Cricetulus griseus: one gene and its partners. The protein of the gene in region 1 purifies or fractionates together with the protein of each later gene. This does not show direct contact. Links are inferred from orthologs where the notes say so. Each region holds a gene or a part of one and is shown on either strand. Other genes may lie near its edges.

Region 1 (7,454 bases):
CATGACAAAGAAATCCTGTCAAAGCTTTTTTTAAAATGCCCATAATGTTTTAATGTTAAGAATACCTTCCTAATTCCTGTAAATTCCTTCGTTTTGTGTAGTTTATAGACACGTTTGTGCCTGGTACAGGCCATTAGGTCCCTCATACTAGAGTGTTGTGAATCCCAAATTCCATTTTACGTGTCTGAGGACAAATTCAACTCCAGACTAGTCACACTGGCAACCAAACACGTAATCAGCTAGACTTAAATAAAGCAAGCACTATATATATTAGCTTTCACTTCTGTTTTTCAACACTAAAGGACTGATGTATGCTGGTATGTAGTTAATTTGGTAAAGGGCTTTTATTTACATGCAAACCTTGAGGCCCTGGATCCCATCCGAGCTCCTAACACACATGCTCCTCTATGCTAAGCTTTTAAAGTGCCAGTAGGTGGCGCTACACCACTAAGTTGAATGCTAGGCGTGACAAATTTTTCCATATCCTATGGTGTACACCTTCTGAGACTCAATCCTGCCCCTTTCCAGGCAGATCAGGCAATGACTCCTTGCAGGTATAGTAATTCCTCACCGTCTGCCTACAACCCATCCATTTATACTGACAAACCTTTAGTCACCGGTTTAGTCATCAGCCCAATTGAACAAGCATGCACTATAGAATGGATAAGTGTACCAGTTTCTCCTGAAAGGTGAAAATGCCACTTTGCTTATGGCCCAGGTATTTCAAAGTGACTCCTAACCCAATTTAAGACCACCTGTTGTAATGACATCTACCAACTCAACCAACTCCACACTATAACTTTTTGTCCTTATCTCCTGCTAAATAAACACCCTGCAGATTACCAAGGGCTTCAGCGGTTGGGAGCACTTTTTCTCCCAATTCTGAATTCCCAGAAACCACAAGGTGCCTTCCAAACAATCAGATGTGGATGCCCTTATCTGGCAGTTGTACTATATGCACTAAAGCACTCACACATTAAAGTGTGTGAAGTACTCAAAGTCCCCCAATCTCACCTTCTACCTTTTCTGCTTAATCTTTGTGCCCCAGATGGCCTTTTAAATTCCTGATACCATTACAAGCTACAGAAAGGCTTATTTATATCCCAGCCTAAATAAAACCTCTTGAGCACTTTCAGTTTAAACTCTAAGTGATAGAATCAAACATCCAATGCACAAGATGAACCCTTTCCTGAAAACTAGTTCTAAAATTGCTAGAGCAAAGCCTGCCTCATATATTAATATTCACTAACAATACACTAACTGTATGATGTCATTTACTTGTGTAAACCCCAAAGGCTCAAGACAAATCAACTGAACTCACCCAGATGAAGGGTAGTCACCATGTCTGCCAAAAACATTCCTAATTTGTCCCAACCAGAACCTTCAAGACACCCACAGGTAATAAGCCATCTCTTGAGCCCTTGAAACTCAGCTCTGGGTCCTGATGAACAGTCCAATCCCTTGGAACACAAATGGGCATCCACATACCTTGCTAAGCTAAGCACTTAGTAATGACTTCAGCATTAACAGAGACAGACTTCTCATTAAACTTGTATTTTAATGGGTCTCAAAATTCTGTGACAGATTTTTGGTCAAGTTGTTTCCATTAAAAAGTACTGATTTTGAAAACTAATAACTTAAAACTGCCACACACACAAAAATGTTCCACAAAACATTCTCCTTTCCTCCTGAAGGTTTTCCGATGCATTGTTATCATTAACCAGTCTTTCACTATTAAACTTAAATGGCCAATTGAGACAAACAGTTCTGAGACCGTTCTTCCACCACTGATTAAGACTGGGGTGGCAGGTGTTAGGGGTAATATTCATTTAGCCTTCTGAGCTTTCTGGGCCGACTTGGTGACTTTGCCCGCTCCAGCAGCCTTCTTGTCCACAGCTTTGATGACACCCACAGCAACTGTCTGCCTCATGTCACGAACAGCAAAACGACCTACACAGAAACAGTTATGAGCACTTGTTCATACAGCATTTCATATCCAAACAATACTCAGTGCAACAGAAACTTAAGTTCTACTTACCCAGTGGAGGATAGTCAGAGAAGCTCTCAACACACATGGGCTTGCCAGGAACCATATCAACGATGGCTGCATCACCAGATTTCAAGAATTTAGGGCCATCTTCCAGCTTCTTACCAGAACGGCGATCAATCTTCTCCTTAAGCTCAGCAAACTTGCATGCTATGTGAGCTGTGTGACAATCCAGTACAGGAGCATAGCCAGCACTAATTTGGCCTGGATGGTTCAGGATAATCACCTGAAAGAAACAGCATTTGGTTAAATCTTGCCTTCAGGTTTTGCATGCTGCTATCAATATTACACTCTTGACACCTATCTTGTTTACCTGAGCAGTGAAGCCGGCTGCTTCCATTGGTGGGTCATTTTTGCTGTCACCAGCAACGTTGCCACGTCTGACATCTTTGACAGACACGTTCTTTACATTGAAGCCCACATTGTCTCCAGGAAGAGCTTCACTCAAAGCTTCATGGTGCATTTCAACAGACTTTACTTCTGTTGTAACGTTGACTGGAGCAAAGGTAACCACCATTCCAGGTTTTAAAACACCAGTCTCTACTCGGCCCACAGGAACAGTCCCAATACCTAAAAACATTTACAGTATATAAGGTGAAGACAACTGAACACACCTCAAAACATCTTAGTCCAGTGTCCGAATGCTCTACTTACCACCAATTTTATAGACATCCTGGAGGGGCAGTCGCAGTGGCTTGTCAGTGGGACGAGTTGGTGGCAGGATACAATCCAAAGCTTCCAGCAGTGTGGTACCACTGGCACTGCCATCTTTACGGGTGACTTTCCATCCCTTGAACCAAGGCATCTGAAATGCAGAGTAGCCAAATGTTTTATAATCTCTCCCCCCTTACAGCTTTTCCATTTAACCACCTTCTTCAAGTCACTTACATTAGCACTAGGCTCCAGCATGTTGTCACCATTCCAACCAGAAATTGGCACAAATGCTACTGTGTCAGGGTTGTAGCCAATTTTCTTAATGTAGGTGCTGACTTCCTTCACAATTTCCTCGTATCTCTTCTGGCTGTAAGGTGGCTCGGTGGAATCCATTTTGTTAACACCAACAATTAGCTGTTTCACACCCAGGGTGTAAGCCAGAAGGGCATGCTCACGGGTCTGCCCATTCTTGGAGATACCAGCCTCAAATTCACCAACACCAGCAGCAACAATCAGGACAGCACAGTCAGCCTAAGAAAAAGTTACCTCCCGTTAATAACAAAGCTTTCCAGCTGGAGGTAAGGGTCAGAAGGTAGTAAATTTCACAAACCTGAGAAGTGCCAGTAATCATGTTTTTAATAAAGTCTCTGTGTCCTGGGGCATCAATGATGGTCACATAGTATTTGCTGGTCTCAAATTTCCACAGGGAGATGTCAATAGTGATACCACGCTCACGCTCAGCTTTCAGTTTGTCCAAGACCCAGGCATACTTGAAGGAGCCTTTTCCCATCTGTTCAGTGATTCGCAGTTAGTACACTCAAAACATCTAGTTTCTAAATAAACAATTTCCTGCTTACGGTAGATTTCCACCCCCCCCGACCTTTTCCCTTCGAATACTTGCCTCGGCAGCCTCCTTCTCAAACTTTTCGATGGTTCGTTTGTCGATTCCACCACATTTGTAGATCAGGTGGCCGGTTGTGGTGGACTTGCCTGAATCTACGTGTCCAATGACAACGATGTTGATATGAGTCTTTTCCTTTCCCATGTTGGATTTGAATTAGCGGTGGTTTTCACAACACCTTAAAAAAAAAGTTCGAAGAATACCTTTGAACGGCTAAGCAGCTTTGTCAATCAGCTTCGCTCCAAACTCAAAATGGGCAAATTCCAAGAATTACTTCCATGGCCAGGCTGGCCTGGCTACAGTCTCCACCCACCAAATGTGAGCAAACTCCAACGCCATTAGACAGATCCCCTCCCCCAGCGGAGGCCAGCGGTGCTCCGAAAGAGCGCCCGGGGTGACTGAAGTGCGGCCGGTACACCACGGGGTCACAGGAAGCAGCGGCCGGCGAGGGGCAAGGCCCTCTTCCTTTGTGTGGGTGACTCACCCGCCCCGCTCCGCCGGGCTGCCGCGTCCTCCATTTTGAGCTCCTTGCTACAGGGCCCGGGAGCGGCCATCTTTCCGCGCACGCAACTGGTGCCGGGCGGGCGGGCCTCGCCCTCCTCGGAGCTAAGCCACTACGGGGTACTGGCCAGACCGGGCCGGGACCCGGGGCCACCTGAACCCGGCATCTAAAACCCACCGCCCGGCCGCCTTATCAGGACACAGGCCGCTACCCGTCCAGGCGGCGTCGGACATGTGCTGCGGGACGGGCGGGCCCGGTCCCCCCCCCGACTGCTGCCGCTCTCCCTGCCCGACATGCGGACTACGGGGCTCCCTACCAGCCAGCTCCACGCCCTCCCTTTGTTGGCCCGGGCCGCGGGCAGGCAATCGAGGGCAGCCGGGCAGACAGCAAAGCGCGGCCGCGGTGGCACGCGGCGGGGCGGAAGCCACGCTAGGCCTCACGCCCGACACGAGGCGAGGCTCCGGGGCCGCCGCCAGGCCTCCCCCCCTCGCCCTCCCGCACAGCCCGCCATCCAGGGCGGGAACGCTCGCAGAGAAGCCCGGCCGACGACACCCGCACGGCGGCCCGACCCCGCTCAAAGGAGGGAGCCCGGGCCCGCGGAGGCCACACCCGCCACTCACCTGCGTTCTGACGGCAAACCCGTTGCGAAAAAGAACGTCCAACGCGACTACCGCACTTTTATACCGTTCTCCCCCACCCTCGGGAAGAGGGCGGAGCCAGCACACGACACCACTTTCCCAGTTTGCCCCGCGCTGGCTCCCGGGCCCCCGCTCAGCGCGCCCCTCCCCCACCGCCGGGGACTGTGGGCTTGTGCTCTCCCGCCGACCCGCGATCCGCCCTAGGCGCAGGCTCCTCCCGCCGCGCTGGGCGGGCACAGCGGTTCCGGGCTGGGAGGCCGGCCAGAATTTAGCGACGGTCCCTGGGATTCCCAGGGGCGAAGGCGATCCCTCCTTTTGTATGAATTACTCTCGGCTCCAGTCGGGGGTGGGGCGGTGAGGAGCTGGCCAAGAGGGCGTCCAGAATCTGTCCCTACCCTTCCTGACTCCACTGCCAAGGCTGTGTCGAGATCCGGGTGTCCCTTCCCGTGGAGGCCACCTCCCGACGTCAGCCCCGCCATCCCCCTGCTTGTCCCCCGCGGGAGAGGTGCACAATCCTAGGGACCCTTCCCAGCCCCAGAACCTAAGGGCTCAGCTCGGTGGCCGAGAGCTCGACGGATCTGCCCCTGTGCTGGCCTCTTGGTTCATTCCATCCAGCGCCAGCTGCTTCTCTGGAAGCCTGAAGCGCGCTTCACGCCCTGGGAGTTCCGTTCAGAATAATACTTAAGTCCCACAGTTAGCTTTACTTCTGATTCTGGGCTTCTTAAGCTAAAAAAGGATTTTGTGTGTGCGCGCATTGTGTGTGTGTGTGTGTGTGTGTGTATTTGGGTACAGTTATTTGATAGAGCACGAGGAACATGAAAAGAATCTAATCAACTCCACGTGGTCTCATTTAGAGGCCAGCATTAGCAATCTTACTCGCCCAGAGCCCATCCCTGACACTTGTGAAATCAGAGCTTCTCAAAAATGGCTCGTCCTATTATTTAAATGCTTGTCATTCCTACAGTTCCAAGGATCATAACTGCGTTTTGCTGTGGTTCTGATTGTGTGGCTGTTTTGTTTTTGAGACAGTCTCTTTAGCCCTGGGTGCCCTGAAACTCACTAGGTAGACCAGGCTGACCTCAAACTCACAGAGATCCGCCCTGCCTCTGCCTCCTGCGTGCTGGGATTAAAGGCGTGCGCCACCATGCCGGCCCTAGCCTGTTTTCTTTTCTTTTTTTTCTTTTTTTTTTTTTTTTTTTTTGGCCCTGGCCAGTTTTAAATGCCTCTCCGGGCAGGATCTCAGAAGAAAGAAAAACTTCTTTGTTGTTTTGTTTCTTAATGCTAGGGACGGTGAAAAGGTATTTTGTAATGGAATATGGGGTTGTGGAGATGGAACCGAGGGTCTCAGCACACCAGGCAAGCACTCTTATCACTAAGCTACATTTTTAGCCTTAGAGTATTTATTCCTAATAACCTGATTATGGGCTCAAGAGATCTCCTCCAGATGTACAACATCACTGCCTAGTAACAAACAATTGATATTATTGAACCAACCTAATAAGGAGCATTTGAGGACCTACTGTCCGGTGTCCACATGTGGGATCTGCAAAGGAACTATTTGCTTCCGGACAAGACTCCACAGTCAAGCTAGGAAGGAAAAAAACTGAAATATAAAACAAATTTTGGGATGAGTTGAAAGCAAATTTACATGATACTTGATTCTTACCTATTATCTAGTTCTAGTTTTCACAACCCAAACTGTTGTTGTTTTTAATTTTTTTAAAAATAGCATTATTTAGTGTGTGTGAATGCACATGCTGTGTATAGCTATGTGTGGGGACCAGAGGACACCTTCCAGGAGTCAGTTCTCTTCCCTCAACCATGTAGCTCTAAAGGATCCAACTCAGAGTCAGGCTTTGCAGAGAATGCCTGTGACCACTGAGCCCTCTCACCACCTCCTGATGTTATTTTTGTTTGTTTGAGACAAAACCTGGGGCGTTGGTGGTGCATACCTTTAATCCCAGCAGAGGCTGGCTGATCTCTGAGTTCGAGGCCAGCCTGCTCTTCAGAGCTAGTGCCAGGATAGGCTCCAAAACTACACAGAGAAACCAAAAAAAGAAAAGAAAAAAAAAAAAAAAAGAAAGGAGACAGAACCTGATGTAGTTCAGGGTGGCCTCAAACTCACTGTGTTGCTGAGGCTGGCCTTTGATTTCTAATCTTCTACCTCTACTTCCCAATGCTGGGATTACAGACGTGCCCCACCACACAGGTTTCTTTTCTCCTAATTCCTATATTACAGAGCCTTACAACCTTCTACAAGCAGGTTTTCTCATTTATCAGGAGGTTTCTGGCTTTGTTTGCACTTAATTCTGTTAATTGTAACCAAAGAATCCAGAACTACGTTTCCCTAAAAGTATATATAACTAATCATTTTCTATCCACAGAAGCTTTTTCTGGTCAAGGAGGGTGTTAAGAGATCAAACACAGGGTCTATGCATGCAAGGCACACAAAAGCCTTTTCTATAATGGCCACATTACCCTCTCTCATTTCACAAATCCCTTTTTCACAGAGATTTTCTAGGGTTCTCAGCCAGTCGTTAAAATTATCTTGATACCCTAGTGCCTATTTGTAACAAGAGAAATTGTAAGAAATATACGAAAATGAAACACTAGCAATAGAACTAATCTCTCTGCTTTCATTTATTTCCTTGGAAACACTGGTTAGTAATTCATCTTTGGAACTAGTTTCCCACAGCTATATTAGTGTATTAT
Region 2 (7,714 bases), on another chromosome or scaffold:
ACAGAGATCAGTTGGCCTCTGCCTCCCGAGTGCTGGGATGCACCACCAATGCCTGGCTTCAAAAAAGTTTTAAATTATGTGTTTGTTTGTGATATCTCATCTCTGTAGTGAGAACAACTTGTGGGAGTCAGCTCTCTCCTTGTAACATGTGAATGCTAGGGACTGAACTGAGGTATCAGTCTTGGTAGCAGACTCTTACCCACTGAGCCGTCTCACTGGTCCTCTATCTTTTGAGACAAGGTTTCCATATTCCCTATTCAATCTCCTGAGTGCTGGGATTATAGGCATATGCTTACCATACCCAGCTATTGAACAGTTCTATATAAGCAGCATGGTTTATGAATGGTGACTGTATAGAATGAGCATATGGAATGTAGTGTTGCCTAAGGTTCCACTGATACATACTCCCCCCACCCCACCTCTCAGGCTCTGGGCAAATGTCCCATCATTTAACCACATTCCCTAGATTTATTTATTTTGTTCCCCTTCATATAACCAGTGTTTTAGCAAAACTTTGGGAAAAACTCTTTGGATCTTATTTTAGCTGGTCCTAAGTCTATAATGAAAGATAGAAGGATATTAGGTCTGAAGAATTCCTACACCATAACAACTTTGTGTCTCCATTGTCCCAGGCTGGCCTTGTACAACTCCCGTTTCCTGAATCTCTGCTCTGAGATGGATGGTCGAGTCCGGCCTCTGGTGTATACCGTACGCTGCTGGGCTCAGCATAATGGGCTGTCAGGTGAGAATGAGGAGAGCACAGACTTGGCCCGAGCTAGTGTTAGGCAAAGGGAGGGATTTAGGGTGAAAAAAAGGTGGGCACAGGAACCAGGGATTATAAATACTTCTTCCTAACTGGAATTATTGGTTATTATTCAGGGGGCGGCCCCCTTCTCAATAACTACGCCTTGACGTTGCTAGTGATCTACTTCCTTCAGACTAGAGACCCTCCAGTGCTTCCTCCTGTGGCCCAGCTCACCCAGAGATCAGGTAATGCAGAACAGCCTCTACTGTCACCTCCGCAGCCTCTTCTCAACTGTCACCCCACTTTCTACCCGTTCTTCCCCAATTTTCCTACTTCCAGCCTGACCCTCTCTTACTGTCACAGGTGAAGGGGAGCAGGTAGAAGTTGATGGCTGGGACTGTAGTTTCCCCAAGGATGCGTCCCGACTGGAGCCCAGCACCAACCTAGAGCCTCTCAGTGAGTCTGGGGAACCTAGGAGACAACTAACAATAATATTAAGTTCTAGAATAGGCACGGTCTTCACTAACCCCATGACTGTTGTTTTTTTTTTTTGATTTATTTATTATTCTGCCTCTATGTATCATGTATCCCTGCACACCAGAAGAGGGCACTAGATCTCATTACGGATGGCTGTGAGCCACCATGTGGTTGCCAGGAATTGAACTCATGACCTCTGGAAGAGCAGGCATTGCTCTTAACCTCTGAGCCATCTCTCCAGCCCTCATGGTTGCTGTTTTAAGGATGACAAAACCATATCTTGGGCAGCTAAGTAAGAGGTGTATTCCCTAGTTACACTGCTCTCCAGGGCAAGCAGCAGCATCTGGGCAGGACATGGCTGAGGAGCTGGATTTCTCAGGACACTTTTGAAGCCCTAAGAAGGGAAGAAAGTCCTACTGAAGTAGCAGCAGGGATGTCCCAATTATGGCTTCTAAGTGACAGACACCCTTTTCCTAATCTGCCTTTTCCAGGTTCTCTGCTGGCCCAGTTCTTCTCTTGTGTTTCTTGCTGGGATCTTTCGGGCTCCCTGCTGTCCCTCCGGGAAGGTTGTGCATTGCTGGTGTCAGGGGGCCTGCCTTCTGATCTTTGGGAGGGGCTGCGCCTTGGCCCCATGAATCTCCAGGATCCCTTTGACCTGAGTCACAATGTTGCAGCCAATGTAACCAGCCGGGTGGCCAGACGTCTGCAGAACTGTTGTGGGGCAGCAGCTAGTTACTGCCGAAGCCTCCAGTACCAGCAGCGTTCCTTCCGGGGCCGGGACTGGGGACTACTGCCACTTCTGCAGCCCAGCTCCCCTAGCTCCCTGCTGTCTGCCAAGCTCATCCCCTTACCACCTGCCCCCTTTCCTCAGATCGTTACGGCTCTTGTGCGAGTGTTAAAGGAAGCGCTTGGATGTCATATAGAACAGGGAACCAAGAGGCCCAGGTCAGAGGGTCCCAGGACCAAAGACCCTTCCCTGGGAGGGACAAACAAAAGACAGAGACTAGATGGGCAAGAGAAGAGCTGGGAGGAGGGGAATGAGAAGTCGCAGGGATGTGCAGGGGACCACAGTGAAAATGGGGTGGAAGAAATGGTAATAGAGTTTCGAGAGACGTCTCAGGGCAGGGCCTTGCTGAGCTCTGCACCATCAGGCCAGTTGCCCCTGATGACTTGGAAGTGTCTAGACAAGTTGGCTGAGCAGAAGCCCATGGAACCCGAAGTGGCTGGAGAAGAGTCTCAGGGTGAGACAGGGAAGGAAACATCACACCTCTCATCAGCGAGCTGGCGCTGTGCTTTGTGGCACCAAGTGTGGCAGGGGAGGCGGCGTGCCCGGAGACGATTACAGCAACAAACCAAAGAAGAAGGCAGAGGAGGCACCACCACTGGAGCAGAGTGGCTGGCAATGGAAGCTCGTGTGACCCAGGAACTGAAAGGACCAGACAGTGAGCAACAGAGGCTACAGGGGGAGCCCCTCCTCACCTTTGTGGCATCTGTCTCCCAAGCTGACCAGGCGCTCACTGTGGTACCAGTCCAAGATTCCCAAGGCCTGTTCCCTGGGCTTCATCATTTCCTACAGGTTTTTCTCCCTCAAGCACTTAAAAATCTCCTTGAGTGAGGAGGCGACCTCACAGACAATAAAGCTGGTAGTTTATTTAATACAGACAATGGACAACTGCGATTTCTACCTGGTAACACTTTCTCTCTGTCTTAATGTAGCCTCTGCCCTGCTTGGCCTGACTATCCTAAAACAGTCATTATGTCCACTTCAGAGGTCTTCCCACCTCATACCACATTTATAGGGAGTTCCACACCACAAGACAAAGGCACTGATTTCTGCTGCCTTTTCTACCCTTTAACACTAGAGTGAGTTCAAATTTCCCTTAAGTTGGATACGAGATTTCCAAATTTGGATATGTGTAAATTATTGCATTAGAACTGGTCTACCTTACCCGACCTTCTGGAGCACAGCCCGGCTTGAGAGGTGCAGGTGACATACAAGTTTGCCGGTCCCCTTTGTTGTAGAGTTAACATCAAGGTTGTTTAGTCATCGCAGACCTACTTTCAGATGTTTTCGGCCATGAGCCCTGCCGGACAGACAATCCCTTAATAGAAAAACCCGAACAGGAACAAAAGGAATTTAGTGACTTGCCACTCCTTCCTTGCAGCCCATGTAGTTCCTAGTAGGCTAGAGCTACTAGCGGTTGGGGCGGTGCTTCCGCCGGTTCTCACACTCTCCCCGCCCTCAGTGAGCTCCGTCTCCTATCAGGCTTCCGATTGGTCGGCCACACGGGCGGGGCGGGCTGCCCAGAGCCATACTACGCAGGCGCCAGCTCTTTGCGCTCCAGGCAGTGCGCCCCACCCCGTGCTTTTTCCAACTCAGCGCGGCTGGAGACGGAACTGTCGTGCGTATGCCTTTTATGCCGTCCTCGCTTTCCGGCCGCTGTTTCCGTACGGCTGTCCCCTTACCCCCTCCCTTGTCTCCCTGGCGGCTTACTTTGCGGCAGCACCGACAGCCCCACCCCCTTTCTCTGCGGAATCACCATGGCGGCTGGGGTAAGTTCGCCGGCTCTGGTGATCCAGGTCACTTCATCCACCGCCATCCTTTGACTGAGTCGGGTCAGTCGGCGCCAGGAGAGTTCCAGACCCAAACGGAGAGCCGATCTGGGGTTCGCAGGCCGTACCGCCGGAGAGCAGGGTTCCTAGGGCCTGGAGGGGAACTGAGGCTGGGGCTCGGAGGCCAGAGGTGGAATGTTCTGGGGTTGAGGAGAAGAGATGCTGGGTCTTCAGTGTCTGGATGTTTAAAAAGTGGCTCAGCTGCACTGCCATTTTAAGATGTGGTGTCTGGGTAGGTTGGTGGAACTTTTGCGACCGTTTTGTGGGTCACCGACGGGGACAGTGAAAAAGGAGAGGGTCTTTGTGGGCAGGAGGGACTGGCACAGTTAGGAGTTGTCTTTTGGGGAGGTTTGGGAGCAGAGGAGTCAAGGAACACTGAAGGCAGACCATTTGGACACCTCTGGCCAGGTTTTAGTAGGGAGACAACTGGAAACACTGAAGGACAGGACCAGAGCGATGTTAGTGCTCGGTGAGGAAAAACAGACTTTTTAGGAAGAGGAGTTGATGAGCAGAGCATGCCGCTAGAAATCAACGTGGCCATTCTGAGGGGAACTTTGAAATCCATTGGTCGATGTGTGTGCTTGTGAGGTGCTACCAGCTTGGCTGTGGCCATACACTGGGTCACCACGAATGAATGAAACAAGGGCTCTGGGAGGCAAGGGTGTGTGTATTTGGGCAGATGAAGACTGGTGGGACCACGAAGTTCTGAAGGGAAGAATGCTGCTAGTGATGTCCTTACGGGAGGTCACGTCTGTCAGCAAGCTTTATTTAGCAGCTGGTACGCAGTTCTGTTCTCGCTATTTCAGAGGACTCTGATTACATAGGGCATACTCAGTTAATTTGGTTTACCAGAAGGAGTGGAGATGAATCAAAGGCTTTGAAAGTGTGGGGAGTCGCTTTCAGGATTCTTGTACTCATGTCCATTCTCCACCCTTCCTCTCACAGACCCTGTACACATATCCTGAAAACTGGAGAGCCTTCAAGGCCCTCATCGCTGCTCAGTACAGCGGGGCTCAGGTCCGCGTGCTCTCCGCACCACCCCACTTCCACTTTGGCCAAACCAACCGCACCCCTGAATTTCTCAGAAAGTTTCCTGCTGGCAAGGTGAGTAGAGAAGCAGGGACCCCAAAGAGCCCTAAAATTCTATTATTTTGGACATGGCCTCCATATTCTATTCTTCAACATTGAAGTTACTTTTTAAAGATTTCATGGGGCCAGGGATGAAAGGCCCTGAGTTTGACTGTCCAAGCACCCAGAAGGAAAAATAAAATCATTTTGAAGCCTTCTGGTAATCCTAGCATTCTGGAGACTGAGGCAGGAGGATTGTGTGAGGTCAGTTTATATAATCTAATATGAGCCTTTCTATAAAGGGAAATTCAGAGCAGTTTGGTGACTCTCAGAGTTACAGACCTGCTTTGGATTTGTGGGATGAAATGTATTTGGGCCAATACATACATACTAGGTTTCTTGCAAGTTGGATTCATATCCCAGAGTGCTTGAGTAGAGATAAATATCCAACGCTGAGTATGGAGGACGGCAAATGCTGTATATGTGTGTGTGTGTGTGTGTGTGTGTGTTGTTGTTGTTTGTTTGTTTGTTTTTTGAGACAGGGTTTCTCTGTGTAGCTTTGGACACTATCCTGGCACTCACTCGGTAGACCAGGCTGGCCTCGAACTCACAGAGATCCATCTGCCTCTGCCTCCCCAGTGGTGAGCGCCACCACTGCCCGGCCAAATGCTGTGTGTGGGTTGCACCTAATGCCTTGGGTAGCGGAGTTGTAGGTGGAGGACTGTCTGAAGACATCCATACCTGAGAATATTCTTTATTTTGAGATGGTGTCACACTAGCCCTGGCTGATTTCAGATTCAGACTGGGAATAAGGGTATGAGGCCGTAATTTCACATTTCAGCCATGTTTGAATTCTTAGTCCAGGCACTGGATTCAGATTACGAGAGAGTTACTGATTATTTTTCATATGAGTCTCAGATAATGTTGCAAGTTTGCATAGCAAGGGTTGTCTCAACATTCTTGACAGTTCAATCCCAAGAATTGGCTAGTGAGAAATCCCTGTGTTTTGCTTTTGTCTCTTAACTACTTCGCCCCTAGGTCCCAGCATTTGAGGGGGACGACGGATTCTGTGTGTTTGAGAGCAATGCCATTGCCCATTACGGTAATTTGTGGGGACACAGGATTGAGAGGTTCTGGGGATGAGGCTGTAGAAGTGGCTGGGAGTGACGGCAGTGGACGGGGTGGGATCATAGAGACCTGGGTTGGTTTGGGCATGATCTTTAGGTTCCAAGCTTTATGTTGTGCCTTTGCAGTAAGCAATGAGGACCTTCGTGGAAGTACTCCAGAGGCAGCGGCTCAGGTGGTGCAGTGGGTGAGCTTTGCTGACAGTGACATCGTTCCTCCAGCCAGTACCTGGGTGTTCCCCACCTTGGGCATCATGCACCACAACAAACAGGTATGCTTTGGAACTTGGCAGAGATGGGGTCAACTCCTATATTGGAGGGAAAGATGCCAGTGATGTGTGGCAGTGCAAAGTCGTAAGTGCTCGCCGTCAGTATGGTGGGAAATAGTCATGTCAACTCTGAAGAGACTGAACATGCATGTTTTAGTTCTAATACATTTTCAGGTGATCCTAGATTCTAGTGATAGAGGCTGGGGGTTGAGCCAATGCTGATTAAATGGAAAGGGACTTGGTACCCACTAAACTTGAATATTCAAAACAACAGGCCACTGAAAATGCAAAAGAGGAGGTGAAGCGAATCCTGGGGCTGCTGGACACTCATTTGAAGACAAGGACTTTTTTGGTGGGTGAGCGAGTGACCCTGGCTGATATCACAGTTGTCTGCACCCTTCTGTGGCTCTACAAGCAGGTAAGGTTTGTAAAGAGCCCATTAGACAGGAGATTGACTGGTGCTGGGGTGCCCTGGGTTCTACTTAGGACTCATCAGTTAATGGCTGTAGGAATCCCAGGATTGAGTACGGTGGGTGTTTTCATTTTAGGTGATGTTGCTTAGTTTCTTGAAAATAATGGGTTTAATTTAAAGATGGGTAAGGCTGGGTGTGGTGGCTTACACTTGTAACCTCAGCACTTAAGGTACTGAGGCAGGAGGATCACTCTGGTATGAGGCCAACCTGGGCTGTATAGCGAGATCATAAATTAAAGATAGGTAAGGATGGTCACTGCAGCGTCAAGGGCTTTTGGAGGCAGATCCAAGTCCCTATCCTGGCTTCATTATTTACTGGTACAGATAGAAGGATGTAAGAATTCTCACAGTTCTTTATTTTATTTTACTTTATCTGTGTTAAATTCAAGGTGGTAGTAATCACTGTGTGGTTCCTATGTTTTTTAAAACATTTAAAATTGTTTCATTTATGTGTATTAGCATGTATGTATGTACATATGTGTACCGGTCCTAAGGAGTTTTGAGCTACCAAGTGAGTGCTGGGAATTGAACCAGGGCCATCTAGAAGAACAGCCATCTGTCTGTCTGTGTATATGCATGTATGCCTGTGTGAGGGTGTCAGATCCCCTGGAACTAGAGATACAGACAGCTGTGAGCTGCCATGAACCTGGGTCCTCTGGAAGAGCAGCCAGTGCTCTTAGCTGCTGAGCCATTTCTCCAGCCCCTCAGGTTACTGGTTTTGTTGTTGGGTTTTAAAGAATGTTGTATTGATTTCCAAGCAATAGCTGGGGATCCATTTTGATTCAGAATTGTAGTACAGTAGGAACAAAGAAAAAAGCTCCTACTGTTCTGACCGTATGCCTCACGGGGTTCATTATAATGTTTCTGTGCCTATAGCACACAGCTTGTAAGTACTCAAGTATAACTTGAACCCAAGTATTCAGAACTTGAAGTTCCCAACTTCCTG
Region 3 (7,758 bases), on another chromosome or scaffold:
CAAAGAACATGCATCGCCAGCATAGTTCCATCTTTTGGTCTTTTGTTTACGTGGACACCAGTATAAGATGAATAAAATATACCTTTACGTCAGTGTTCTGCAGAATCCTCAAGCACTATGAATTTCCAGAAGAGCAAGTGCGCCCTCTGCCGACCCTCATGGTTCTGACATTGCCTTCCTCTGGCTCTCGTCGTTTAGACACTGCCCTCTGCTGGCCATTATGATCCTGAAAAAAATCTTCCCACTATTTCAGGCCGCATCTGTTGTCTTTTCCTCAGCGAATGTTTTATTAAATAAATCTTTACAGGAAGCTTCCCTCACTAGATTGATAGCAAGAGTACTGGCTGGTTGAGCGAAATAACCCTGGATTATTTATCCTTCTGAATTCTATCTACAAAATACAGCAAGCTTTAAAGACACAACATCCAAACTGTAAAAACAATAGTAACTACATTTGGTATTTAACATGAAGCCAAAATGGCTGATGTGTTCAATGGTGTACTTCCAGGGCAGTACAATCCCTAGCATCAGATCACACTTCTAACAATAGGCCCATCCTCTGTAGCTGAATGAATACGTGACATTTGTAAATGGACGTTATGACTCACCTCCTCTGGTACAGTGGCATAGAAAAGGGAAGGAGGGAGCTAGAGATTGCTCAGCAATTAGGAATATTTGACAACCTGGGCACCAACACCTACATAGTCGCTAACACCCATCTGTAACTCCAGTTCCAAGGGACCCAATAACCTTTTATGAATTCCCCAGGCAGGCATTCATGTGGCACATACATTAACACTGATGAAGAAAATACTTCTGTGACTGAGTGCTGTGCATGTCAAGGTCAGAGGAGCACTTTCCAAAGTCTGCATTCTACTTCCCACCCAGGTTCTAGGGACCGAACCCAAGCGGTAAATGTGTGTTATGAGTACCCTTACTGGCTGAACCATCTTACTGGCCAAAAGTCAATTTTTCAAAAAAGCAATCTTGAAGACGTCTGTTCACAATAGACCATATTCATCAGCACCATGTGTTGCTGCTGACAGCCACAGAATTTTATCAACAAAGGCTACAAAATTAACTATAATTGCTAAATGTTTAATAACACATCAGTTGTTTTTTTTTAATGTGTGTAGTCATATGGTATGTGAAAAACACATTGGCTAAAATACAACTTCTAGGAGTCAGTCCTCTTCCTTGTGGGTCCTGAGGGTTAAACTCTGGCTGGTCAATCAAGCATGGCCAAGTGGGCTTGACCTGGTGCTTTATCTGTCTTTCCAGCCAAGTTTTCATTACTTAGGAATTACATAGCCACTGAATCCTTTCCCCCAAATGAAGACACACACACCACCATTTCTCACAATAGAATGTAGAGTCAAGGGTTGTTTGAGATTTTATTCAAGTGCACTGACCAAGGATGGTTTTAAATTTTGTTAAAAGCAGCCACATCCATGGACTGCACGTAGTCCTCAAAGGCAGTAATCTGCTCCTCTAGCATATCTGTTCCAACTTTGTCATCTTCAACTACACACTGGATCTGAAGCTTTTTAATTCCATATCCCACCGGAACCAACTTGGCTAAAAAAAGAACAAGGGAAAAAAGTTAGGAAATTCTTATTGATGGGAAAACATTGAAAATGTACATGAATTTCAACTTCAAAACCCATCAGTAAACTTACAAGAGCCCCACACCAAGCCATCTGCTTGAATGCTTCTGACACACTCCTCTAATTTTGTCATGTCTGTCTCATCATCCCAAGGCTTCACATCTAGTAAGATGGAAGACTTGGCAACAACCGCAGGCTCTAAAAAAGATTAAGAAATGCATTATACTTAAGCACTCTACTAAACACCTTTACCGTAGGCCAAATCTCAACTTGTTTCAAAACAGACATCTTCTTGCTGAAAAAACATACAGAATTTACCTTGTGTCTGTCACGCATATTCCTCTTTCAATTTGGCTAAGAAAGAGGCATTAAATTGTGTAACAGTTTCTTTCCCACAGAGGAATGCTACAGCTGCTATCATATGAACAGTTGTAGACCAGTAGCTGTGGATGTTCCATAAGGAAAGATGTTTATTGAAGACTCTTAAAAATACCGACCCATTCAATGAAACTGGAAAAAAAACCACTTTAGGGTCAAGCTTTGGAAAAGACCACCACTCACATTATTATTTACCAATGAAGGTAAACAACTGTAAAATTACCTACTTTTAGCTTTCTTTGATTCATACTGTGCAAGGCGCTCTTCTCGGAGCCTCTTTGCTTCTTCGCTTTCCTGTATAGGAAACAAAAATTTCACAAAGTTGGTTATCTTCTGCTTAAACACAGTGACAGGGTCATTACAAAAAAAGAGACCAGATTTATCAGAAAAAAGCAAATCCATCAGGAGCTCAGCCGAAAGATGGTGATTTGATTTTATTCATCATATACCCAGTGATATCTTTTTAAAGGCAGATAACAAAGCAAAGCCAGGGGTCAACTCCAGGGAGTGACTACACAGCTATACTTATACTACACTTACGCTGCCTTATCAACATACTCTATATGAGGTCAGCCATACCTCCTCATCATCTGATCCGAAGAGATCAATGTCATCATCATCTTTAGCATCCGCAGTTCCACTTCCTGTGGTGTCTTCCACACTGGCAGGGCCATACTTGCCCAGAGATTTCTTCACTCCTGGCAGGCTTGAAAACAAACATTCTACCAATATTAGGTCGGGTGTCATATTCTTTTCTGGGCAAAACACACAACCTTTCTTTCCCAGTAACACTCAATCTCTTCTATTCTGGTTATTTATCCTTTAGCACAAACAATCCCAGGTAAAGATGTTATGTGTCTAGCTCTTCCTCCAACAAACATTAGTACCACGGGAGACATCATACTCAATACTCACTATGGTTTAACTCTTTCAGAATGAACATCTCTGTTTGGGATTTCATTAAGTATGCTCACTTCCATTCTTAGTTAACTGGAGTCCACTTCCCCAAACTCTCCACCCTTGCTTGCTGGTAGTTTCAGAAGAATGGCCAGGGACTGAATGAATGAGCTACCCTCTCACCCCAGCGATGGCCCCCCCAGGTCCAAGCATACTGGCAGAGAGGTGTGGGGTAAAGTTGAATTGCTGTTGTCCATGTTCTACCTGTTCCGTGAGAAAACGGAGGGCTTCAGTCTCTTGGCCTTTTAAGGTCACAAAGAAATTCAGCTTACCCAAGCCCAACAAAGCTAAGTAACTTAACCTAGGTCCTAGTTTACCATGTGAAAACCCAGGTGGCACCAAGACATTTTTTACCTGGCTTTCTCTTTCTCGTAAGACTTGATGTGGTTATACCAGCGCAGAGCATGACACAGGTCAGCGGGCGGAGGACCAGAGACGGCTTCAAAGACGGCCACATCTGCTTGCGATGGCACGTACCTGCCGGTGACACAAAAAACAAAGTGCACACACCTCTTAAAGAAAAGACACGAACACCAGCTAGTATAGGACAAGCTCTACACCCGTCAGACTAACTAGTGGGAACTACTGCAGGGCTAACAAGTTGCTTTAGTTGCTTTTAACTATAAAGTGCACCGAACACGTGTTCGAATCTCCACAAACCAACAGCATCTGCCACGTATCTGGACAGACCTCAAAAGCTACCATCTGCCATCGGGCCAGCCACCAAACCAGGTTTAGATTTCCTAACTCGGCGGAGACGCGGAAGAACTTGGTTGAACGCGGCCACGCGGCCACCAAGCCTGTTTCAATGATTCCGCTTGCAGCCCCTGCCGGGAGGTCCTGCTCCGGCAGCATCCGGGCCCCGGGAGACCCAGGCTCGGCTCCCACCCCCCCCTTCCTCCCGCCGAGCCCGCGCCACGTGGCCCCGGCCTCCAGACTCACCCCTCGATGTAGCTCTTGTCCGCCAGGTAATCATTGAGCACCTGGAGGCCCGCGGGGGTTTTCAGGTCTCCGAAACCCATGGCGTCGGTTGGATCCCGGAGGCCGGCAGCAGCAGGGAGGGAGAGGGAGAGACAGAGAGAGAGAGAGAGAGCGCCAGAAGCCCGCGGCCGGCGCTAAGGGAAAAAGGGCCCGGGCCGGCCGGAAAAGTCCTTATATAGAGACGGAGGCGTTTCCCTCCACTGCACCGGCTAGAGGTTAAAGGTCAAAGGACATTCCTAGTCTCGTCCCTCCACGTAAAGCCGGGACTTGGGAATCAAACGGCCCACAGGTTGTCCGCGGGCTTTTCCTTGGGACCGGAGAGAAATTAATAAAAGAGGCATTTTAAAAGGCCTACCTACAAGGATTCCGAAACTAAGGGAAACGCCCCCCGAAGAGCCGGAGTTGAGCGAAAGCGCTCGGCCTCAAGGCCTCAGCTACTTCCGGCGGAACTGCGGGTCCAAGTCGTCCCCTCCGCTTCCTCCCGACTCTCGCTCGGGTTGCCGGAAATTGCCGAACAAGTCCAAAGAGGGGGAAAAAAAAAAAAAAATTGTCGAGCCTGGGTTTTTCGTCCCTCTTGGCTCTCCGTCCTCCAGTTCCTGTGACGGAGTTAGCCGGGGCCGCCATATTGACTTAGCGGCCCGGTATTGAGGGGTCAGAGAGATCCGGACCAGTCCGCGGAGCAGCCTAGTGGGCTCCGGAGAAAAGGTGAGGGCGTGTTTAGGTGGGAAGGCTGAAGGGCTTCAAGCCGGGTTCCATTTCTTGGCAGCATTGTATCCTTTAGGTCAGAGAAGTCATTCCCCTCTTGTCCTTGACTGGGTACCGCCTCCCGCCCCGCCACCGCGGGAACCCGGGAGAACCGGCCGGTGAAGCAGAGGGAGGAAGAGGAGCAGACCTTTGGGAACTCGGGCTTGCGAGCTGCTTTCTCTGCAGGGGAAAGCAGGAGGTGGCCTTGACAGGAGACCGGCTCATGCCCCAGTGTCACGAAGGACTTAAACCTTAGGCATCATTGGTTAGTTGCTGTCTTGCAGCTGTCCACACTACTGTTTGTTTTTGTCTAGTTCATTGACCATGTTGGGTAGTAATTTATTTATTCTACTGACGGGGAAATCTCCCCACAACTTTTTAAAAGTTAGCCGGGGCTGGTTAGCTAAGCGGTTTTTCAAGTACCTTGCAGAGAGGATCCGAATTCGGTTCTCAGTGTCCAGTTCAGAAGACTCACAACTGCCTGTCACTGTGCCCTAGGAGGTTGCCACCCTCTTCTAGATTGTGAGCACCTGCACTTACATGAGCCCCACACAGACATGCACATGCACACATAAGTTTTAAAAAAAATGAATCTTAAAAAGTTTGCTCGGGGCCCAGCCGCAAATCAGGAAGCTGCAGTGTCTTCAAGGTCTTGAGATACAAAGTCAAACTGAATTGTAAACATTAGGTTTCGTTTTTCCTGGGGGGGGTTTCTTTTCTTTTCTTTCACTGAGTTTTGCATTAAATGGAGTGTTCTGAGCTAGAGCATCAGCAACTTTTAGAAAGTTGTTTGTCTAAGTCACAGCCAAGATATGGGCCAGGTGCGGTGGTGCTTGTCTATAATCCCGGCACTGGGGAGGCCGAGACAGAGGATTGAACCCAGGACTTTATGCTAGGTAAGGACTCTACTAACTGAACTACATCCCTAGCTTGAGTAGCTATTTTTGTTCCTGTTTGGAATACATTCCAGGGCTGGCAAGGTGCTTGCTGTCATGCCTGACAACCTGAGTTCAATTCCTAGAACCCACACGTGAAAGGAGAGAGCTGACTCCCAAAAGTTGTTCTTTGGCTTTCATCTGCACGAGCCCCACCGCAGTTAATGTATGCTAGCACACACAAAGTAAATAAATGAATGTAAAAAGCAGCAACAAGAAACATATACCAATCTGGATGTCGTGGTTCATGTTTATAATCCTGGTGCTTTTTGGGAAGTGGAGATCTGAAGTTTAGGAGTCCCAAGTTGATCCTTGTCTTCATAGCAAATTTGAGGTCATTCTGAGGTTTATGAGATCTGTCTCAAAAATCAAATACCACCAAAGCAAAACACCACAACAAAACAAACTGTATGCTGTATAAACCAGGTTATCCTCGAACTGTCTATGTAGGTTTTATATCATGTAGCTCAGGCTGACATCAAATGCTTCAAGTTCCCCAGTGCTGGGATTATGGCCATGGGCCACCACGCTGGCCCCATCAGTACTTTTTGCTAATGGAGTATGTACTGCTCATCCTGGAATTTGGTGACTTGTTTTTGTAAGGGTACTGTGCCAGAAAATGGGAATAGTCAGATTTCTTGTCAAGGAACTTAAAGTCTAGTAGCTACCAAAATTCTCCAGGAACTTAGTTTTGGGGGCTTGTTTGTTTATTTGTGTTTGGGATACAGCCCAGTGTAGGCTGAAGAAGTGGTCCTCCACTAAAGCTACATGCTTAGCCCAAGTTTAGTAAATAGAACAGTAAAATAAATGTATGGTGTGATGTTCGTAAAGAAAAGGACCACAAGCGAAGAGCACTTTACATCTGATTGTCAATGCCCATTGAAGTTGAAGTCAGTTTTTATTGCAATTTTTTCTTTGTTTTTATTATTGGTAATTACTGACCTTGGTATTGTAGATCTGCTTTCTAGATAAACAAACAATAACTGATTTACCAGAAATTATTTACAGACACCAGACTTGATGTCTTCAAATTCAGTATTGAAAATTGTAATTACTGTTATTAAGGAATTAAGTGAAATGAGTTGTAAATTAATGAATTTTTAATTATAGGTCATCTGTGATAACTATAGGCTTTAGAGTTTAGGATTCTATTTCATCTGGAATGGTAGTGCCTTTAATCTCTGCACTTAAGAGGCAAAGGCCTGTGGATGAATCTCTCTCTGTGGGATTCAGGCCAGCCTGGTCTCTGTATAGCCAAAAGCCACGTGTGGTAGCACATGCCAATAGGGTATGTTGAAGAGGTAGAGGCAGAAGGACATGAATTCAAGATTAGCTGGAGAGGTGGCTCAGTGGTTAAGAATCCTGGCTGTTCTTCTAGAGAACCTTGTTTGATTCCTAAAAACTATATGACTGGTTGTAATTCCAGTTCCAGGGGATCTGACACCCAGTCATGGCCTCTCTGGGCATCAAGCATGCACATAGTGAACAGACATACATACAGGTAAAATATAATACACTTACACTTAATTTTTTTAATTAAAAAAAAGAAAAAATTTTAGTTTTTGTACTATTTTCTATTACTTCTGCTACTGCTATTGAAACTTTTTTACTCATTTTTTAATGTTGATACTTTCTAATCACATAATTTTTTTCCTTTAAAAGGAAAAAACAAACACAACAAACTAGTCATCTTGTACATACATCCCTGTAATAACAGCAGTTTGGAGATAAAGGCAGGAGGATCAGGAGTTTAAGGTCAGCCTGAGCTACATGAGATCCCGTCACCAAAACTAAACAAAAACCAACTGACTAAACAAAACTTAAAAATTCCAAAAGAAAAATTATGATATTAGAGGCTGTGCTGCAGTTTTATGTCAACTTGATGCAAGCTGAAGTCATTTGAAAGGAGGGAAGAGCCTCAACTAAAAAAATGCTTCCACACCTGGAAGTGGTAGCACATACCATTAATCCCACCATGACTCAGGAGGCAGAGACAGGTAGATCTCTGAGTTTAAGGCCAGCCTGCTCTACAGAGTGAGTTCTAAAACAGCCAGGGCTACATACAGAAACCCTATCTCAAAAAACAAAAATAACAAAAAAAATAATTTATATTTTCTTTTCTGTATATGAATGTTTTGCCTTCATGTATGCATGTG
Region 4 (7,652 bases), on another chromosome or scaffold:
AGCACTTGGGAGACAGAGGCTGGTGGATCGCTGTGAGTTCAAAACCTGTCTAGTCTACAGAGTGAGTTCCAGGACAGCCATAGCCATTACAAAGAGAAACCCTATCTTGAGGTGGAAAAAAAGAAGAAAAAGAAAGAAAGAAAGAAAGAAAAAAAAAAAAAGAGTTGCTGTGGTCATGGTTATCTCTTTATAGCAATAGAAACCATAACTAAGGCAACCCAGACAAGTACTGGGATTCCAAGTATATACCATTATACTCAGATATATCAGGTTTTTATTATATAAATTCAATATTTTATCTCATGTGACATTTTGAACATAATGAGGTAAGCAGAGGCAGGAGGATCATGAATTTGAAGTCAGCCTGGTTATGTGCAATTTCAAAAGAAAACAAAAACCCAAAACAAAATAAAAACCCTAAAAAACAATAAAGATAAACAGGGCACTTAACCCCTGAGGCAGGAGGATATGAGTTCAAGGCCAGACTGGTCTACAGAGCAAGTTTCAAGATAGCCAGGGCTACACAGAACAAAAACAAGGGGCTGGAGAGATGCTCAGCGATTAAGAGCATTGGCTGCTTTTCCAGAGGTCCTGAGTTCAATTCTCAGAACCCACATAAAGGCTCACAACCATCGCTAGTGGGAAGTGATGGCCTCTTCTGGCATAAAGGCATACATGCAGATAGAGCACTCATATATATAAAATAAATAAAAATTTTTATAACAAATTCGGGAGGGTGGTGGCACACAGATCCGAGTTCCAGAACAAGCTCCAAAGCTTCAGAGAAACACAAACAAATAAACAAAAACAAAACACACACAACATATTATTAGACAATGTAAGTATCTAGTGGGGAAAAAAACATACTAGAGTTCGTTTGTCCTCCCAAGAAGTATGTTCTCTGGAATGTAGAGACACAAAATGACTTAAATAAAGGAAGGTAAGAAGGATATCAGTTCCAAGGACGTAAGATCCTCTCTAGTGCAACTTATGATCATACAAGGGACAGACTGCATTTACACAACCAGAGACTCCACTCGTATTTAAGCCATGCTGTTTCAGTGATGGGCTCCTCCCATCTACATTAAACATTGCAGCTGCTGATCTGCTTTCACTATAGTATAAAAAAGAAAAGGTCAAAGTTCAAAGAAACTCTAAGTCATCAACAACAACCAGCAAAAGGCACATGTGCTTTTTTTCTTTCTTTTGGTTTTTCGAGACAGGGTTTCCCTGTGGCTTTGGAGGCTGTCCTGGAACTAGCTCTTGTCGACCAGGCTGGTCTTGAACTCACAGACATCCACCTGCCTCTGCCTCCCGAGTGCTGGGAGTAAAGGCGTGTGCCACCAACGCCCGGCAGCACATGTGCTTTCTAACACAAATCTTTTGATTCATGCTTTCCAAGTGATCACAGACTGTTAAATATTTGTTTTTTTGTTACTCATCTAGCAAATATTCAGTGCAATTTTAGTATGTATTAGACAATATGTTAGAGCAGTAAATAACAGTTAAAAAAGAGGACCACCTAAATAAATGATAAACATAAAGGGGCACTATGGCATATTCTTAGGAATATCTGAGAGAATTGCCAGTAGCCTATGTGTACATGAGTAAATGTAAAGAATGTGTGTGTGTGTGTGATATACACACATATATCACACACACACACAAAGACATACACAGAGATGCTGTTTAGACCAGCAAATACACAATTTTAGATTATATATGGCTGGCTGTAAATTTAATTTATAATATATTCACTTATTTAATGTGCTTGGGTATTTTGCCTGCACCAGAGGATACCTGGTCTGTTGGAGGCCAGAAGTGGACTTTGACTAACCTGAGACTGAAGTGATAGGCCATGTTAAGCCTCCATGTGGTTGCTGGGAATTAAAACTCAGACCTCTAGAAAAGCAGCCAGTGCTCTTAACTGCTGAACCATTCCTCCAGCCTGTGACTGTAAATCTTGCTCAACAAAACCTAGCTCAGATAAGAGTACTGAAGCTCAAACTTTAGCCCTGGCGGCCTGTAATTTGCCACAATACTCCTGTTACTGCCTCCCAAATGCTGGAATTACAGGTATGCACGGTTTATCTACCTTCAAAGGTCACTTTCTTTCACTATTGTGTCTGTGTAAGATGGGAAGAAACAACATCTCTTCCTATAACTCATTCTAAATGGGATCTTGTTGGCTTTACAATGAATAATTTATTCTGAGACCTGGGGATGCCTCCTAAGACATTATTTAAAAAAATAACTTTATTTGAAACGGTTGATAGCAACCGTTTGGGCAAATTGTTTTTTGTTTTGTTTTGTTTTGTTTTGGTTTTTTGAGACAGGGTTTCTCTGTGTAGCTTTGGAGCCTATCCTGGCACTCGCTCTGAAGACCAGGCTGGCCTTGAACTCACAGAGATCTGCCTGCCTCTGCCTCCCAAGTGCTGGGATTAAAGGCATGTGCCACCAACGCCCGCCCGTCGAAAAATAGTTTTAACTATTTAACTTAATAATAAAAATAATTTTGAGTGGAGCTGAGTACTGGTGGCTCAGGCATTTAATCCCAGACCTCAGGAGGCAGAAGAAGATGGATCTGAGTTTGAGGCCAGCTGGTATACAAAGTAGTTCTAGTACAGCCAAGGCTACACAGAGAAACTGTGTCTCAAAGAACAAAATAAATTTATTTCAAACACACCAACGGATGAGATGCACTCATGCCCAAGGGTTTTGACCCTGCTTTGTATCTATCTACTTGTAAAGAAGAAAATTGGTCACATCAGGATGACCACCATTTCTGTAACCTTTTCCATTTCTCTCCGTCCTCCCTGAGTTACTTACAAAGATCCATAATGTGGTTCCTGCAGATGGCACAGTTATCAACCACAATATCCCAGGCCCAGAGGGCTACTGCATTCCACTGCAAAGACAAAGGGGGTTAACAATGCATTTTCCTAGTAATGTAACAGGATTTCAGGTTTCAGTTCAAGCTACCAACTCCCTGGCCTTAGGGGCTATCAAAGAAAGAATGTTTTTGGATTATACTATTTGTACTACATCAGAGGACAACAGCAAACCACATGTATGCTTCCTCATTCATCTGAAGATGTAAACATGGGATGCTTCAATTTTCTGTCTATAGTGTAAAATAATTTAGCTAGTCCAACCAATGTAAGCAAATTAGAAATATTTTTTAAACACCGGTTTTAGATTTAAAGAAGTACAAACTTGAATTATTGTGGAGCTTTCCCTGGCAGTTGTGGAAGGACTCAAAATCTGCAGAAGTCTCTGCTCTTCAAGCAGTTTTGGACACATAAGGAGGTGAACAGAATGGAGTAAAATGATGACAGGATCATAATGTGGATAATCGTGGGATAAGCCGGATAGCCAGTTACCTACCTAGCTTCAGTACACAGAACAAGGTCATCACTTAAATCTTAACAGATTAATTCATGGCAAAGTAGAATCCACTACAATTTTCTTTCCCTCTTATCCTGGAAACTGATGTTGTCAACTTTTATATGTCCAAACTATTAATTCTAGTAAGCAAGTCGATCTAAAAGTAGTTCAACTGGCTTCTGCAATTATACATACATATTGACAGACACCCCTTTCAAGGGCTCTTTCAAATTCAAGTCTCAGAAGTTCAGTAACTTCTACATCACTTTTTATACCACAGCATCAACTCGGGGGGTTGAAAAAAAAACGATTACTTCTATTCTTCAATATGGCTGCTGGCTGTAACTGAGCAGCAATGGCCACAATGAGATGCCAGAAAAGGGGGGTGGGGTGGAGGGTGTGCTCAGCGACACGCTCCAAAAATACATGAAAACATCTCTCCGACTACAATATCTTCATTTTTACAGATTTATGTATTCTGAGGTAGGAACTGACACCTTTCTCTCAAACTGTTGGCAAACTATGAAGGGAACAGCATGCAAAAAGACTTTCGACATTTTTGCTTTCCTGCTCCCAAATCATGAACAATTAGTATTCCACTTTCCTAAATGCCACAAGTTCTGGGCTTGCTTTTAAAACAAAGCCCACGAAGCTTTGTAACTACTGATTTTGATAGAAGGGTATCCGGACGTTACAGAACTATGGGACTGGCAAAACCTATACGTGACAAGCAGTAGACATTTCTGAAGAACCAAGTCTTATACTCGAGACTAGGGCCTTAGAGCCTAATGGAGGCCTCCATACAATCGAGGACCCACACCAGGTCTCTCCGAGTCAATAGACTCAAGGATCCAGGAAGGGGCGGGGCAAGGAGAACACCGACCGACAGGGCTCCTGAGAGCCTCCTCTGCGGTAGGGGCTCACGCTCCCGGCTTTCTCCGCACTGCCCCATCCTCCACCCGCCGCAGTCTCTCCGAGAGCCTCCATTCCACCCACCCCACCCTGTCCTTCCCCCACCTCTCAGTCAATTCAGTGACAGCTCAAGCGCTTGGCTCCCGCAACCAAGTCGACGCAGAGTATTTCAGTAAGACATCCTGCGATTGGCCCCTCAGCTACCCCAGCGAAACTTATATGGCCTCAGAGACTGGGTCACCATCATGCCCATCAATCCTAAAGCCCGCCCCCCAGCTTCCTTTTCGTGGTACCCGGTCCCAGGAACGCCCTGAAATGAAGCTCTTTCCCCCGCGCCCCGCTCGTCCTGGGGCCTGCCAGCCATATCCACACCTCTCTAGCTTCCCTGAGGAAAGTGCTGGCCAGACCCAACCTTTTTCACTTCAAAGCGCTTCTTGCCCGCGCCGCTGTTGGTGCCGCTGGGGGTATCCACATCCATCGCTGCCGCCATTTTGGAAACACACGAACACCCGGCAACTGCGCTTGCGCACCGGGTCACACGTCGCCTCCTGCTCCCCACCTCAGGCTCCTCCTCCCGCACCCCTCCCCTTATTGGCGCGCGCGGGTGGAAGGGGCGGAGCCTTCGCCACGCCCCTTAAAGGCGCAGGCGGATGTTCTTCGCCCTCCGCTGGGGAGTAGGCTTGAGGCGGGGCCCGGCGGGGCCGAACTATGTGAGACAGCCGGTGGGAATGTCCGTGAGGTTTCACGCTGCTCGCCTTCAGGGCACCCTCTTGGCCTGATTCCTTCATCTGGGGCGGTGGCTGCCCTTCTTTGCCGGGACTTGCACCTGGTCCATTCTCACAGCGCTGCCCTCCGGTGCTGCGATGGAAGGGGCTTGGGCGGGTCTGTGGAAACCCGAGACTCCACACGGGCCTTCCTCTGGTGGTGGCCAGCTTTGGGGCTACGCGGTGTGGCAGTGTCCTGGAGGCCTGCGGCCAGGTTTCCCAGAGCCCGGGCACCAGCCGAGTTCCCAATGAGTTTGGGAAATGATTTGATGGGGAGAGAAGAGGCTTGAATGTTCTGCCCCAGACCTAACAGACATTCTGCAGCTCTGCCTTCGCTTTCTCACCAGAAAGAGATGGAGAACGCTTAATTAAGAGCCTGGGAGATGCCATATTACCTCTCCTAACCAGCCAGTCCTAAATGTCGTCCCTTTCTCCCCATTTCCTATCCCAATTTGGCTGCTTGAACTACAGTTAAACTAGTTTATCTGTAGTGGCTGGACTTGAATTTGGATGAGGCATTCTGATAATCTTACCGCTCATTTCCATCGAGCTAAACAACATGCTCCCACGTTTAGTGCAGGCCTCCATGGTTCTATCTCCTAAACTAGCAGAGGCATGACTGAAATATATCACCTTGAATTTTTTATATTTTTATTAGTCCTATAATCCTAGGACTTGGGAGGTAGAAGTAGAACGCCGTGGTGTTCCAGTTCCCACAACAGGACAACAAAAGAGTTATATTTGTAATGTCACATATCCTTTTAAAAGAGATACTTATTGGAGAGTAATGGAGTGTTGTTAATGTCATTGCTGAGCAGGGCAATACTTCCAGAAACAACACCACAGCTTTAACGTGCACAAAGAAAATGTGTGACAGCCTGGCTGGGCCTGCCTGTATGTGTTTGTCCAAGTTCTGCCTCCCATGTTAAAACTGTCATTCATTTATTATGTGTTAACAAATTCCCTATGGGATGCTAGAAATCTACAGTTAATTAAGATACTGAGGACATACTTATTCATTATTCAACAAATATCTTGAGTATGTATCAGGTCTTTTAAATTTTGTTTTGTTTGTTTGTTTTAAAGATTTATGCTGGGCGTTGGTGGCACTCACCTTTAATCCCAGCGCTTGAGAGGCAGGCAGATCTATAGAGTGAGTGCTAGGATAGGCTCCAAAGCTACACACAGAAACCCTGTCTCAAAAAACAAAAACAAAAACAAACAAAAAAAGATTTATTTACTTATTATGGATACAGTATTCTGCCTGCATGCCAGAAGAGGACACCAGACCCCATCATAGATAAGGTTGTGAGCCACCATGTGGTTACTGGGAATCGAACTCTGGACCTCTGGTAGAGCGGCTAGTTCTCTTAACCTCTGAGCCATCTCTCCAGCTCCAATTTTGGTTTCTTCTTTATTTTTTTAAAATTTTTTGGGTTTTTCGAGACAGGATTTCTCTGTGGCTTTGGAGGCTGTCCTGGAACTTGCTCTTGTAGACCAGGCTGTTCTTGAACTCACAGAGATCCGCCTGCCTCTCAAGTGCTGGGATTAAAGGTGTGCGCCACCAACGCCAGGCCACTTTGGCCTGGAAATCTGAGCAATTCTGTTGCTTCTACCCCTCAAGTGCTGAAGATAGAAGGGATGAGCCACCATGCTCAGCTACACAAGGTCCTACTTTAAACAGGAAAGCCACAGTGATGAAATCAACTTTTAGTAGGGACACAAAGCACCATCAATGATATCAGGAAGTCTCAGGTAGCAATGAAGGTTATAAAAGACAAGATGATGAGACTGAAGGGAGGAGTCAACAATATGTCTTGAGTACTATGCATATAGTTTTAAGAAAGGCATTGGACAATGTTGTTATTGTGTGAATATTATATATGGTAATTACACAAACCTAGATGGGGTAGCCTGTTACTGAAGCTATACTGAGCTTACTACTTCTAGGCTCCAAACCTGCACATACTGTTACTGTGCTGAATACCACAGTATTCTCCAGCCCTCTATGAATGTTTTTAACACCTGATTTTGTATTTCATTTATTTATTTGCTTATAACATTCCAATCTCAGTTTCCCCTCCCTCCTCTCTTCCTGCTTTCCCCTCCTTCCCCCCACCACACCTCCCATCCACTCCTCAGAGAGGGTAAGGTCTCCCCTAGGATGTCAGCTAAGTCTGTCCCATCCCCTTGTTGAGGCAGGACCAAGCTCCCCTCCAAATCTCCCCCGCCATGTCTAGGCTGAGCAAGGTATCTCTCCATAGAAAATGAGCTCCACTAAGTCAGTTTATGCATTAGAGTTAGATCTTGGTCCCACTACCAGTGGCCTCATATACTACCCAAGGCACACCATTGTCACCTGTATCCAGGGGGTCTAGTTTGGTCCTATGCCAGTTTCCCAGTTGTCAGTATGGAGTCAATCTCTCACTAGTTCTGGTCAGCTGATTCTATGGGTTTTCCCATCACGGTCTCGACTCTTTGTTTATACTATAGCTCCTCCCTCACTTGGATTGTACTCCAGGAGGTCCACCCGATGGTTAGCTGTAGATCTCTGCATCTGCTTCCATCCATTTCTGGAAGAGGGATCTA

Evidence for each region.
Region 2: the proteins of Eef1a1 (region 1) and Eef1g purify together in Homo sapiens (affinity purification with mass spectrometry; 5 studies listed by BioGRID and IntAct, counting the BioPlex papers as one, with this or other methods). This does not show direct contact. The link is inferred for Cricetulus griseus from reciprocal best matches to the Homo sapiens genes EEF1A1 and EEF1G.
Region 3: the proteins of Eef1a1 (region 1) and Eef1b2 purify together in Homo sapiens (affinity purification with mass spectrometry; 3 studies listed by BioGRID and IntAct, counting the BioPlex papers as one, with this or other methods). This does not show direct contact. The link is inferred for Cricetulus griseus from reciprocal best matches to the Homo sapiens genes EEF1A1 and EEF1B2.
Region 4: the proteins of Eef1a1 (region 1) and Rbx1 purify together in Homo sapiens (affinity purification with western blotting; 3 studies listed by BioGRID, with this or other methods). This does not show direct contact. The link is inferred for Cricetulus griseus from reciprocal best matches to the Homo sapiens genes EEF1A1 and RBX1.

Annotation. Positions count from the first base shown.
Region 1 is NC_048597.1:189,543,623-189,551,076, forward strand, and holds Eef1a1 (elongation factor 1-alpha 1), read right to left. Parts: upstream 4,758-7,454; 5' UTR 4,725-4,757; intron 3,781-4,724; 5' UTR 3,747-3,780; coding exon 3,603-3,746; intron 3,492-3,602; coding exon 3,312-3,491; intron 3,233-3,311; coding exon 2,936-3,232; intron 2,853-2,935; coding exon 2,702-2,852; intron 2,618-2,701; coding exon 2,361-2,617; intron 2,274-2,360; coding exon 2,039-2,273; intron 1,951-2,038; coding exon 1,826-1,950; 3' UTR 1,557-1,825; downstream 1-1,556. UniProt on the Homo sapiens protein: Translation elongation factor that catalyzes the GTP-dependent binding of aminoacyl-tRNA (aa-tRNA) to the A-site of ribosomes during the elongation phase of protein synthesis.
Region 2 is NC_048596.1:51,129,176-51,136,889, reverse strand, and holds the start of Eef1g (elongation factor 1-gamma), read left to right. Parts: upstream 1-3,626; 5' UTR 3,627-3,763; coding exon 3,764-3,775; intron 3,776-4,780; coding exon 4,781-4,939; intron 4,940-5,941; coding exon 5,942-6,005; intron 6,006-6,156; coding exon 6,157-6,299; intron 6,300-6,570; coding exon 6,571-6,714; intron 6,715-7,714. Other genes in the region: Tut1 (speckle targeted PIP5K1A-regulated poly(A) polymerase), read left to right, coding at 633-742, 880-990, 1,109-1,201, 1,714-2,837. UniProt on the Homo sapiens protein: Probably plays a role in anchoring the complex to other cellular components.
Region 3 is NC_048595.1:417,278,538-417,286,295, reverse strand, and holds Eef1b2 (elongation factor 1-beta), read right to left. Parts: upstream 4,244-7,758; 5' UTR 3,965-4,243; coding exon 3,885-3,964; intron 3,420-3,884; coding exon 3,297-3,419; intron 2,692-3,296; coding exon 2,565-2,691; intron 2,439-2,564; exon of another isoform or gene 2,360-2,438; intron 2,280-2,359; coding exon 2,213-2,279; intron 2,059-2,212; exon of another isoform or gene 1,927-2,058; intron 1,806-1,926; coding exon 1,680-1,805; intron 1,579-1,679; coding exon 1,424-1,578; 3' UTR 1,371-1,423; downstream 1-1,370. UniProt on the Homo sapiens protein: Catalytic subunit of the guanine nucleotide exchange factor (GEF) (eEF1B subcomplex) of the eukaryotic elongation factor 1 complex (eEF1).
Region 4 is NC_048595.1:378,618,092-378,625,743, reverse strand, and holds the start of Rbx1 (E3 ubiquitin-protein ligase RBX1), read right to left. Parts: upstream 4,869-7,652; 5' UTR 4,790-4,868; coding exon 4,712-4,789; intron 2,909-4,711; coding exon 2,830-2,908; intron 1-2,829. UniProt on the Homo sapiens protein: E3 ubiquitin ligase component of multiple cullin-RING-based E3 ubiquitin-protein ligase (CRLs) complexes which mediate the ubiquitination and subsequent proteasomal degradation of target proteins, including proteins involved in cell cycle progression, signal transduction, transcription and transcription-coupled nucleotide excision repair.